Linked DNA regions of Macaca mulatta. The protein of the gene in region 3 binds, or shares a complex with, the protein of the main gene of each other region. Links are inferred from orthologs where the notes say so. Each region holds a gene or a part of one and is shown on either strand. Other genes may lie near its edges.

Evidence for each region.
Region 1: CWC22 (region 3) and SNIP1 share a complex: the UniProt entries of both Homo sapiens proteins name them as parts of the minor spliceosome. The link is inferred for Macaca mulatta from reciprocal best matches to the Homo sapiens genes CWC22 and SNIP1.
Region 2: CWC22 (region 3) and SNRNP200 share a complex: the UniProt entries of both Homo sapiens proteins name them as parts of the minor spliceosome. The link is inferred for Macaca mulatta from reciprocal best matches to the Homo sapiens genes CWC22 and SNRNP200.

What each region holds. Positions count from the first base shown.
Region 1 is NC_133406.1:203,254,454-203,258,103, reverse strand, and holds part of SNIP1 (smad nuclear-interacting protein 1), read right to left. Parts: intron 149-3,650; coding exon 1-148. UniProt on the Homo sapiens protein: Required for pre-mRNA splicing as component of the spliceosome. As a component of the minor spliceosome, involved in the splicing of U12-type introns in pre-mRNAs. Down-regulates NF-kappa-B signaling by competing with RELA for CREBBP/EP300 binding.
Region 2 is NC_133418.1:5,031,727-5,035,376, forward strand, and holds part of SNRNP200 (U5 small nuclear ribonucleoprotein 200 kDa helicase), read right to left. Parts: intron 3,452-3,650; coding exon 3,299-3,451; intron 3,187-3,298; coding exon 3,087-3,186; intron 2,900-3,086; coding exon 2,763-2,899; intron 2,199-2,762; coding exon 2,115-2,198; intron 2,015-2,114; coding exon 1,841-2,014; intron 1,549-1,840; coding exon 1,411-1,548; intron 1,172-1,410; coding exon 1,016-1,171; intron 133-1,015; coding exon 1-132. UniProt on the Homo sapiens protein: Catalyzes the ATP-dependent unwinding of U4/U6 RNA duplices, an essential step in the assembly of a catalytically active spliceosome. Plays a role in pre-mRNA splicing as a core component of precatalytic, catalytic and postcatalytic spliceosomal complexes.
Region 3 is NC_133417.1:84,940,186-84,943,935, reverse strand, and holds the start of CWC22 (pre-mRNA-splicing factor CWC22 homolog), read left to right. Parts: upstream 1-1,383; 5' UTR 1,384-1,423; intron 1,424-3,750. UniProt on the Homo sapiens protein: Required for pre-mRNA splicing as component of the spliceosome. As a component of the minor spliceosome, involved in the splicing of U12-type introns in pre-mRNAs. Promotes exon-junction complex (EJC) assembly.

The DNA.
Region 1 (3,650 bases), on a different chromosome or scaffold from region 3:
TCCCAGGTCTCTCGTTAGACGTTCTCCTTTGGTGGGAATGGCCCCGGTGTCTGTACCGGTCACTTTTCCTAGCTCTCCTGTGTTCCTGTTCTGATGGTTCCCTGTGCTGCCGATCCTCCCGTCCTCTCCGGGGATGATCCTCACGCTCCTGAAATTCAAACAGATTCTGTAATTTTAACACAGTGCACAATCTAAAGACAGCCCAAATCTTGTTCTTTTTGAATGAGGTATATTCAAAAGGTCTTTTGTAATTTGGAGTTTGGCATTTAGAACAACATTTCCCACAGAAATAAGATTATGTCTGGTGGTTATGTTCCCTTGCAAGGCCACAAAAATGATATCCCATGCTGCTATTCAACCATAGCCCTAATAGCACAAGCCCAGGTCCAGAGCCCTAAAAACAAGAGACTATTTAGTCCAGAAAGGAGAAAGAAAAATAATTTCCTCCTTTTCACAACAAAGGTAACTATGGGAAAACTTACAGGGAAGAATATACAGAAAATAGAACTAAGAGTTAAGTAGTCAGGTACAAGATATGTAAAGAAAGAAGCTAGCTTTCTCTCATGCCAAAAATGAAAATATAACAGTTTTTAAATCCTACTTCCACAGTTAAAAAAAAATTCAATACCTAGGAATAAACTTAAGAAACATGAAAGACATATAAGAAGAAATCTGTAAAAATTCATTAAAATAGAGGCTTTTTAAAGATCTGAAGAAATGGAGAAACATACCATGATTTCTTGAAAATGACAGCATTGAAAATCAGCCTAGGCCAGGCACGGTGGCTCATGCCTATAATCCCAGCACTTTGGGAGGCCGAGACAGGCGGATCACCTGAGGTCAGGAGTTCCAGATCAGCCTGACCAACATGGTGAAACTCCATCTCTTCTAAAAATACAAAATTAGCCGGCTGTGGTGGCACATGCCTGTAATCCCAGCTACTCAGGAGGCTGAGGCAGGAGAATCGCTCGAACCTGGGAGGCAGAGGTTGCAGTAAGCCGAGATCGCGCCATTGCACTCCAGCCTGGGCAACAAGAGTGAAACTCCTTCTCAAAAAAAAGAAAAGAAGAAAAAAAATCAGCCTGGTAGAAAATGTCTGCAACACAAACCAGACAGTAGTCCTAGGGGGATACATTCTAAGTATGGTGGACGGCTGAAACCACGGATAGTACTGAACCTGACTGCCATCAAACGTAACACATTTCTGTTCACATCTTCCACCCATAAATTTAATGCCTTTTCCATCTTAACTAAGCACTTATGAACTGTGGCTGTAACTTTTACAGTATGAAATACAACAGCAAAACTAGCATGAATTTCTTTTTCCTTCCCCACAATTTCACAATAGAAGATTCATTCTTACTATTGATCTTAGCAACTTCAATATAGGATTTGAAAAGTTTTTTTTAAGTTGAGAACTTTCATCTTTTCGTTTAGGAAGCACTTTACAGCTTCTCTTTAGCCTTCCTAATTGCCAAAATCACTGCTATTGCACTTTGGGGCCACTACTAAATAAAATAAAGGTACTTGAATCCAAGCACTGCAAACTGCAACAGTTATCTGATAACCAGGATGACAACTAAGTGACGGACAGGCAGGTAGCGCATACAGCACAGATACACCAGACAAAGGAAGGATTCATGTTCCTGGTGGGACAGCACAAGTTTACACCAAATGACTCAGGATAGTGACCAATTTAAACTTTATGAGTTGTTTTTTTCTGGAGTTTTCCATTTAATATTTTCAGATGTAGAAAGTGAAACCACAGATAAGGGGGGACTACTGTATATTACTATATCAATAAGAAACAATTCAACAGAGAAACTGACAAATGGCCAGGTGCCAGTGGCTCACACTTGTAATCCCAGCACTTTGGGAGGCCAAGGCAATGGATCGCTTGAGCCCAGGAGTTTGAGACTAGCCTGGGCAACATGGTGAAACCCCGTCTCTACTAAAAATACACAAATCAGCTGGGCACAGTGGTGCATGCCTGTAGTTCCAGTTCCTCAGAAGGCTAAGGTGGGAGGATTGCTTGAACCTAGGAGGCAGAGGTTGCAGTGAGCTGAGATTCCACCACTGTACTCCAGCCTGGATGACAGAGCAAGACTCTGTCTCAAAAATAAAAAAGGAAAGAAAAATGAACAATTTTCAGAAGAAATAAATGTCCAAGGGCCGAGCACAGTGGGTGACGCCTGTAATCCCAGCACTTTGGGAAGCCACGGCAGGAGAATTGCTTAAGCTCAGGAGTTTAGACCAGCCTGAGCAACACGGCAAAACCCCACTTCTACAAAAAATACAAAAATCAGCCAGGCATGACAGCATGCACCTGTAATCTAAAATTACAGCTATTCTAGAATTTGAGGTGGGAGGATCACTTGAGCCCAGGAGGTCGAGGCTGAAGTGAGCTATGATCATACCACTGCAGTCCAGCCTGGGCTACAGAGACCCTGTCTCAAAAAAAAAAAAAAAAAAAAAGAAAAAAGAAATACATGTCCAATAAATGCATGAAGATATGCTTAACCTAATAACCAATGCATCAAATTCTAAAAGAAACATGAATTTTCTCTCCTTGAATTAGTAAAATTAAAAAGATCAATAATATCTACAGTCAAAAAGGAAGGCACAGGAAAATGGGTATTTTCAGTCACTGCTGGTACAGGTATAAACTAGCATAGCCTATTTAGGTCAATTTGACAGTATTTAATCAAAATCTCATCAACCACTAATGCCACTTATAGAAATCAATCCTACAGAAATACTAGCAGAAACGCACAAACACATACATATCAATGTGTTTACTGTAATTTCATAATAAAAAAACTGGAAACAACTTAATGTCCTGCAACGGTAGAATGGTTAAATTATTATCTATTCATACAAAGGAATACTTCCCAGCCATGAAAAAGAAAGAGATCATGACATAGAAAGATATCTAATATATTGTTAAATGAGAGAGGAAAAAAGAGAAGGGGCAAGTTTCACAATAAGACCAGATATTTCTATATATAGACTTGGCAGATGAAATACTTGGAGAGATGTTCCCACTATAATTTAACTAGATACTTATTAAATTTTTAATGTATTGTTGGGCTGTCAATAAGCAAGGCAAAATCTCCAATGAGAAAAAAATCTCCAAAGTGGGGTAAGAAAAAAAAACAGATTTGAGCTCTAAGCATGGGCTCAAATACTAAAGAATACTAGACACACACAAGGAAATGGAAACAAGCCACTGAGCATGAGAGGCAGCAGAAACAAGTCTTATAGGGTGGGCATGGTGGCTCACGCCTGTAATCCCAGCACTTTGGGAGAGCAAGGGGGGCAGATCACTTGAGGTCGGTCAGGAGTTCGAGCCCAGCCTGGCCAACATTGTGAAACCCCGTCTCTACTAAAAATACAAAAATTAGCCAGGTGTGGTAGTGCATGCCTGTAATCCCAGCTACTTGGGAGGCTGAGGCAGGAGAATCGCTTGAACCCAGGAAGTGAAGGTTGCAGTGAGCAGAGATGGCGCCACTGCATTGTAGCCTGAACGACAAAGCAAGACTCCATCTCAAAAAAAAAAAAAAAAAAAAAAGAAACAAGAGGCCGGGCAAAGTGGCTCACGCCTGTAATCCCAGCATTTTGGGAGGCCGAGGCGGGTGGATCATGAGGTC
Region 2 (3,650 bases), on a different chromosome or scaffold from region 3:
GCCACCCTTGCGGGTGATGATGTCCCACTTCTCGGGGGTGCAGACGATGATCTGAGTGGCACTGATCTCTTCTTTGCACAACTGGTGGTCCCCAGTCAGTTCAGCAACAGTGATGCCGTAAGTGGCCAGACGCTGTGGGAGGAAAACTACATCAGGCAGGAGTGCTTGAAGGGGCCTGGACACCACGCTTTCTGTTTGGGCGGTTGGAGTGTAGGGCCTTGGGAGCAGGCATCAACCCATCAGGTGAACACAAGGCGAATCAGATCTTATGAGCATATCTTCCTCAAACAAACAGAAACTTAACTCAGGCAAATAAAGCAGACAAAAGATCTCTCGGGGCCAGGCACGGTGGCTCACGCCTGTAATCCTAGCACTTTCAGAGGCCAGTGAGGGCAGAATGCTTGAGCCCAGGAATTCTAGACCATGGTGAAACCCTGTCCCTACAAAACACATAAAAATTAGCTAATCTGGTAGCACATGTCTATAATCCCAGCTACTAGGAAGGCTGAAGTGGGAGGATCACTTGAGCCTGGGAGGTCAAGGCTGCAGTGAGCCATGATTGTACCACTGCACTCTAGCTTGGGTGACAGCAAGACCCTGTCTCAAAAAAAAAAAAAAGATCTCTGGGAACTCTGTACACAAGAGGAAGAAATGGCAACTTGTAGATAACAAGACCTAGAGTAACACCACTAGGTCTATTATTATCCACATCCATTTGATGTTTCATAAATACGTCAATAACACAAATGATACCAACTGCAGGAAATTGCCATGGAGAGGATGAAAGAAAGATGCTAACCCTTGTAAAAGATGGCTCAGGACAGTCTTACTTCAGAAACTCTGTACCTGGGTTCAGTTCCATCTTGGAAATGGGGAGAGAAAAATAAAAAATAAAAACAATCCCAGGAGGCATTCCAGAGATGCCCCAATACAAAAAGCGGTGAGGTCCAGGCCTGGCCACAACACTTTGACAGCTGCGCCCCGTATCCTCTGGAGGAAAGTTCTACTCCCTCACCTTTCCAAAGCTGCCCACCATCTCCTGCACCAAGGAGCGCATGGGGGCAATGTAGATAATCTTGAAGTCATCCACATTGATGGTGCCGTCCATGTTGATGTGTTTCCCAATCTCTCGGAGCATGCACATCAGGGCCACGTTGGTCTTCCCAGCACCCTACGGGAGAGGTCAGGGATGAGAACGCCTGTTCACCTGATTATTCTCACTGCCCTAACTTCCACGGGCTTATTTCCCAAACAGAGAATAGAATTTTTCCTGGGTACTTTATCCTACCATTTAACCTCTCTTTCATCAAAGGACAAAGAATTAGGGGGTGGGGTGGAAATAAAAAACAATCTTCCAACAGAAACTCCACCCATATTCCCCAAGAAAAAAGCAGGCAGGGTGGCGCTTACAGTAGGAGCACACAGCAGCAGATTCTCATCCGTCTCGAGGGCAGCACGGTAGAGCTTACTCTGGATCCGATTCAGTGTTTTGAAGCCCTCAAACCCAGCCTGGGCATACTTTGGAAGCTTTTCCACCGGAAGCAGTTGCTAGAAGAAAAGAAGCGCCATCGGTATCATGTTGGCAGCATCCCTGAGCAGACTGGTTTTGTGGGATTGCCAGGATTTTGTTCCCTGGCAATCTCTTTGCATAACTCTCCATTAAAGGTCAGTCCAGAGATCAATATTGTCCCCTGGGCTCAAAATCAGAATGGGAAAATTCTGTTGCAGCTTTCAGCCCTAAAATAAACTATATATGAAACAAAGCTACATTCTGGTCAATGGTTGAAATCCAAACCAGGAGGCGAACTAAGCAGAGAACTGAGGAAAGCAATTCACTTACTTCTTCTGAGCCAAAGGGCTTGGGCTTCAGAGCAGGCACATGCACCTCTTCGTAGCCCTTACGCTGGCGACGGAAGGATCCATCAGGAAGCTGACAGCGTTTATTGGCCATAAAGTGGCTCCCTTGGGTAAATACCAGGTCCTCCAAGTCCAGAACCTGCCGTGGAGCCAGTGCCTGGGAATGTGAAAGACAAAAACCCCAAGGAAGTGAGCAAGCCGAGCAAGCGCGTTTTCCACCCAACAAGGCCTGGGACGTAAATCGCCCTGGATCCTACCTCTCCACCCTGGTCGAGATCCATGGTTTCCAGATCTGTGTCCATTCGAGACTGACGCACTCGCTCTCTCCGGGATCTCTCCTCCTGTAGCGGACGAAGATGAAAATCACAAAAACAATTCATCAGTATCACAGGTTCTTGTCCTTTTCTGTCCCTGCTTAGCTAATACTTGAGTCACAGGTGCTCACTAATAAGTCACCAAACAGAAAGACAACGCTTTACATGGGGACCACCAGAATGATCAGAGCGAACACACACCTTTAAAGGGGCAATGCGCAGTACAGGGATGCCGGAAATAGACGTTCTGTAATTAAGTACCAAGGGCTACCCCTGAGGGGTAAAAGTGTGGGTTCTGTTAAGCAAGCACATGTGTTCTGTTACTCTATTTTAGTAAACACCATGTATTTACTGTGCAATTAAACAATAAAGATCCCCATAGTGCTGGTGAAAGACAGCAGCAGGTCACTGGTCTAACGACCAAACCAATGTGGATGTGTTGATTCTAACCTGTATGCACTGACAAATCCCGAAAAATTTAGAGAAATTACTTTTTCAACTTCCACTTTTAATATGAATTTAGCTTCATGCTGCAATCTTCTAGCCACTGTTAGCTCAGAAATCAGACAGATAAACCAACGCAGTCCTTACTCGGATCAGATCCTCCTTCTCGGTTTCGTGCAGCTGGTAGAGGAACTTGGATAGCTCTGGGTCAGCTTCCATCTTTCCCATAATCCTTTCCTTTTCAGCTTCACTTTGTGCACTGGCCAGCAAGGTACAGTATAAAACTACCCACAACAAAAGGAACAAAGGAAAAGTGAAGAGGAGGAAGTAAGGCAAAAAACCTTCATCCTTAGAGTAGAAAGAAGAAAAATAAAAGAAACAAGCACTTAGGTTGTGAAAACAACAGAATCTCCATCTCACACACGCACACATATGTACTCACTCTGCAAGAAGAGCCCACCATATACTCACTCATCATCCTGTGCTGCCGCAACACTTTAATGAAATCAAAGGTGTTGAAACCAAGCAGCAGAACCAGCTGGTTCTCACATTCCCGATCGTCACTGGCCGTCTGCAGAGAGAAGGCAACACCACCACTAAGGACAAAGCCATCTGCCACTTCATACACTGTCCCCATGTACCAAGATACACTACACATACAACTATTGTTATCTTGGCCATACCTTCAAAATCTCCAATACTTCATCTGCCTTCTTCTGCGACACGATGGCATCATCATAGAAACGACTGAGCTGCCGCTGTAGCCAAAATGCATCAATATCCCGAGGGTGCAAATCCTTCTTCTTGGAACTCATCAGTTCACCTGAGGCCACGAGCTACAAAAGTAACCAGGCATTTAGCTCACCAGGTCTCTGCCAGCCTAGAGCACTTTGCCACCACCCTGCAACCAAGTTCTACTTGCCACCCCACAGCCCACCTTCTGTGAGGACTTTCCAGAGGGAAAAACTCTGGAATACTGAGTTCAGAATACCAGACTAAGACTTCATCAACATACATCTTTGGGAAGGAAGAAAA
Region 3 (3,750 bases):
ACAACAAACAGTTGTCAACAGTTTGGCAACACCCTCACAGACACACCCAGGATCAATACTTTGCATCCTTCAATCCAATCAAGTTGATATTCAGAATTAACCATCACAGATAGTATTGTGGGTTTTTAAATATATAAATACAAATGTTCATCTCCAGATCCATCTCCTGTGCCCTGTATTGGTACACCAAAGTGCACCATCAACAATGGCCAAATATCTTAAATATGAAATAAAATAGATAACACTATTGTATACTAGCAATTATCTTAAACGTATCTTGTGAATCAACTAATTCAATTCTTACAACTACTGCATGAATGGGTACTACTAGTATTTCCATTTAACAGATCAGGAAACGGCCACAGAATGTGAAGTTACTTGCCCCAATCATCCATAAATAATCAAAGGACTCAAGATTCAAACGTAAGTAGTCCAACTGCAGTGTTTTTATTCTTAATTCTCACACTTTGCCTCCAGAAAGGAGTGGAAGCACAGCACCCTAAAACTGTAATAGAGAAGTGTGTGGAGAAATCAGGCCTGGTTTATGAAAGATTTGATAACATAAAGATATTCTTGTTTTAGAAAGAGAGTTTCCAAAATAGTAAGTAGTTGAACTTTTACGTTTTGTTACTAGTGAAAAGTGAAGTTTAAAGAAACAATTTGTTTGATGCCCTAGTTCTGTATGCTGTACAAACTGCTACTTCCTACTCAGCCAGGCAATCTCCTTATTCTCAGGTCATACCAGTTGGTACCTTAACTTAAAAGACAGGCAACATAGTCTCTACAGAATTATTTTTTCCTCATTATTTCACTCTATTTATGATCTAATATTCTCCCATTCTCTTGGCTTGGATGTCTTGGAATTTATTAGGCACTTGACTCTTGGTCAAACTCTTATAAAAAAAAGTCTCAAGAAAATCTCTCACTTAAGATTTTCAAGGAAAGTGACAACTGACTACTAAAAAAAAAAAAAAATTCCCAAAATGCAGTGAAATACTTTTAGATTAAAGTAAATTTGCCTAGACCCTAAACACTGCTAGGCTGCCAGTCAGCAGCGTGGATGTTAACTCGCTGGCGCGCATCTGTATGAACTACAATTCCCATCGTACACCGCGCCATTTCACCGCTAAACTACAATTATGCTTTCGTCATTTCCGTCAGCACAGGTGCTGGATTTCGGACTTTGTAGTTCATGCCAACTTCTTTTTAGTCGCCATTTTGATAAGAATACAGTGTGCCTGGATCGACTGCTTTGACTCTGGCATTATGATATGGTATCTGAAATAAATTAAAAGGATAACGCGTCAAGCCAATTGAGCGTCAAGTTTTTATGTATTTCAGTATCTGCCTTGTTCCTACTGTCGGTGCTCGGGAAGAGGAAGTGACGTACATCCGGTGTAATGGCGGCGCGGTGCAGCTTTAGGTAATTATCGAACTCCGCGGAGTCCCCGTAGGCACCGAAGCGGAGCGGGGGTGGCGGGTTGCCGGGTTGGGTGGGAAGTGAAAGACCCTGAGGAGTGGGTGCGGGCTCACTGATACGGCTGTGAGCGGCATTGGAGTGTGCGTGGGTCTTCCCGCCACGCTCGGGCCCGCGAGAGGGGTGTGAGAGTGGCTGGGTCCGAGGAGTCCAAGCGGGTGGGGAGCGAATGGGCTGCGGTGAACTGACTGACTGCCTGAGCGGACCGGCTGACCTTCCTTGTGAGGTTCCTGCAGCTGTCTGAAGTCCTGCACCAACGCTGGTGCTCTGTTGTTTCGTGTGCAGTGTGTTTTATACTTAGAGCCTCTGGAGTCCATTGGGCTTGCCAAAGCCCCTTTCCCAGTGCCTGGGGAGTGGGATTAATGAGCTCTAGTTGATTAAAAGTTAGTTGAAGTACTTGCACTCTTATGCCTCTTTCCGGCGTTATATCCCTTTGGCTATTTGTTTTACGTTTCATTAGCGGTTTCTTTTTCATTTATTTGCCCTGTAAATACTGATAGTTTCTGGAGTTTAGTTTTGAAGACGCTTCGCTTCTCTTGTGTCCTCTTCACCTGTCATTCTTGATCCTTACATAACTTGAACTATCTCCAATGAGGTAATAACTGCTAAACTTGGGTGTCCAGACTCCACCTCTCTAAGGAGCTTTGGGTCCTGTAACACAGCATTATAGAACGGAAATATAATCGTTAATTTCACTGAGTTTAACTGCAAAAACTACCATACCTATTTCCACTTAATCCTAACAATTCTTTTGAGGTAATTGGAGAAGGCAGGATTTGGAGAAAGGCTATTCTAGATGCAAGAATTAGGTAAGAGTTTCCTTTGCATTTTTGGATGTGCAGAGACTCGAAATAGCAGATAAACAAATTGGGTCCTCAGCAGATCAGTTATCCTACCTCTTATCCGTATTTAGACTTATCTTCTTGTAGGATTGCTTGTGAATTCAGGAGTTAACACAGATTATCCTACTATGCAAGGGCAGATTTAAAATTGACATTAAAAGTGTGGTTTTGACCAGGAGAGGAGAAGCCTTGTTACAGGCCTTATCAGTAGGTTGAGGAAAGCTACTTTTGTTGGTCCTGGGTGATGGACTAGTAGACCAAAGATTTCAGTTTTATTTAGCTATTATTAGGTCTGTCACTTGGAGCAAGTTAAAGTCTCTATTATATATAGTCAGCTTCATCATCTGAAAACATGTAGGTAATAATACAATACCTGCCTCACTGTGTTGTCTTTTTTTGAGTATAAAGAAAATAATGCAGATGAGGCACTGAGCACAGTGCCTGATATACAGTGTTAGCTTTGTATTATTGTAAATTGCTACTATGATACAGTTGATGAGTTCTGTCTGTGCCTCAGTTCTTGCCCTCTGGGTCTGAGTGTTGCCTTTCCACCTTTAAGTGTCCTTCCAGGTTTTTTTTTTTTTTTTTGAGACGGAGTCTCACTCTGTCGCCCAGGCTGGAGTGCAGTGGCGGATCTTGGCTCGCTGCAAGCTCCGCCTTTCGAGTTCACACCATTCTCCTGCCTCAGGCTCCCGAGTAGCTGGGACTACAGGCGCCAGCCACTACGCCCTGCTAATTTTTTTTATTTTTAGTAGAGACGGGGTTTCACCATGTTAGCCAGGATGGTGTCTATCTCCTGACCTCGTGATCCACCCACCTCAGCCTCCCAAAGTGCTGGGATTACAGGGTGAGCCGCTGCGCTCGGCCAGTGCCCTTCTAGTTTTAAGTGTCCATGCCACTTTTATGGAGTCTTACCCAACTCAATTGACTGGGGCTCTGAGACCGTCTTGGTTATAAGTTAAAGGCCAAGAACTTTGATCTAATACCCTGGTCTAGTGGTTCCAAAAATGTGGTCTCCTGAATCAGCAACATCTCTTTGAAGCTTATTAGCAATGTAAATTACTGGGCTTCACCCAGTTCTGTTGAATCAGAAACGTAGAAATGCAGGCCCAACAGTTTTTTTTTTTTTTTTTTTTTTTTTTTTTTTTTTTTGCGCCAAAGCATTCGAGTGATTCTCATGCCAGTTAGTTTGAAAACTTCTGCTCTAGCCCATCTTTTAGGGGCATGCTATGGTTCATCCTCCCCCTGTCCTCAGAATCAGGTTTGTTTCCCTCCTTGCTCCAAAGTACTTGATCCATGGCCAGCCAGTATTTATTATTATGCCACCACATCCTTCCCTGCTTTGGATAGATTACCTCCAATCACTTTTTGGAGTTCTGACACTTCCTAGACTACCTGGTTTTTCTAAGCGAGCTTTCTTAGCTCTATTAG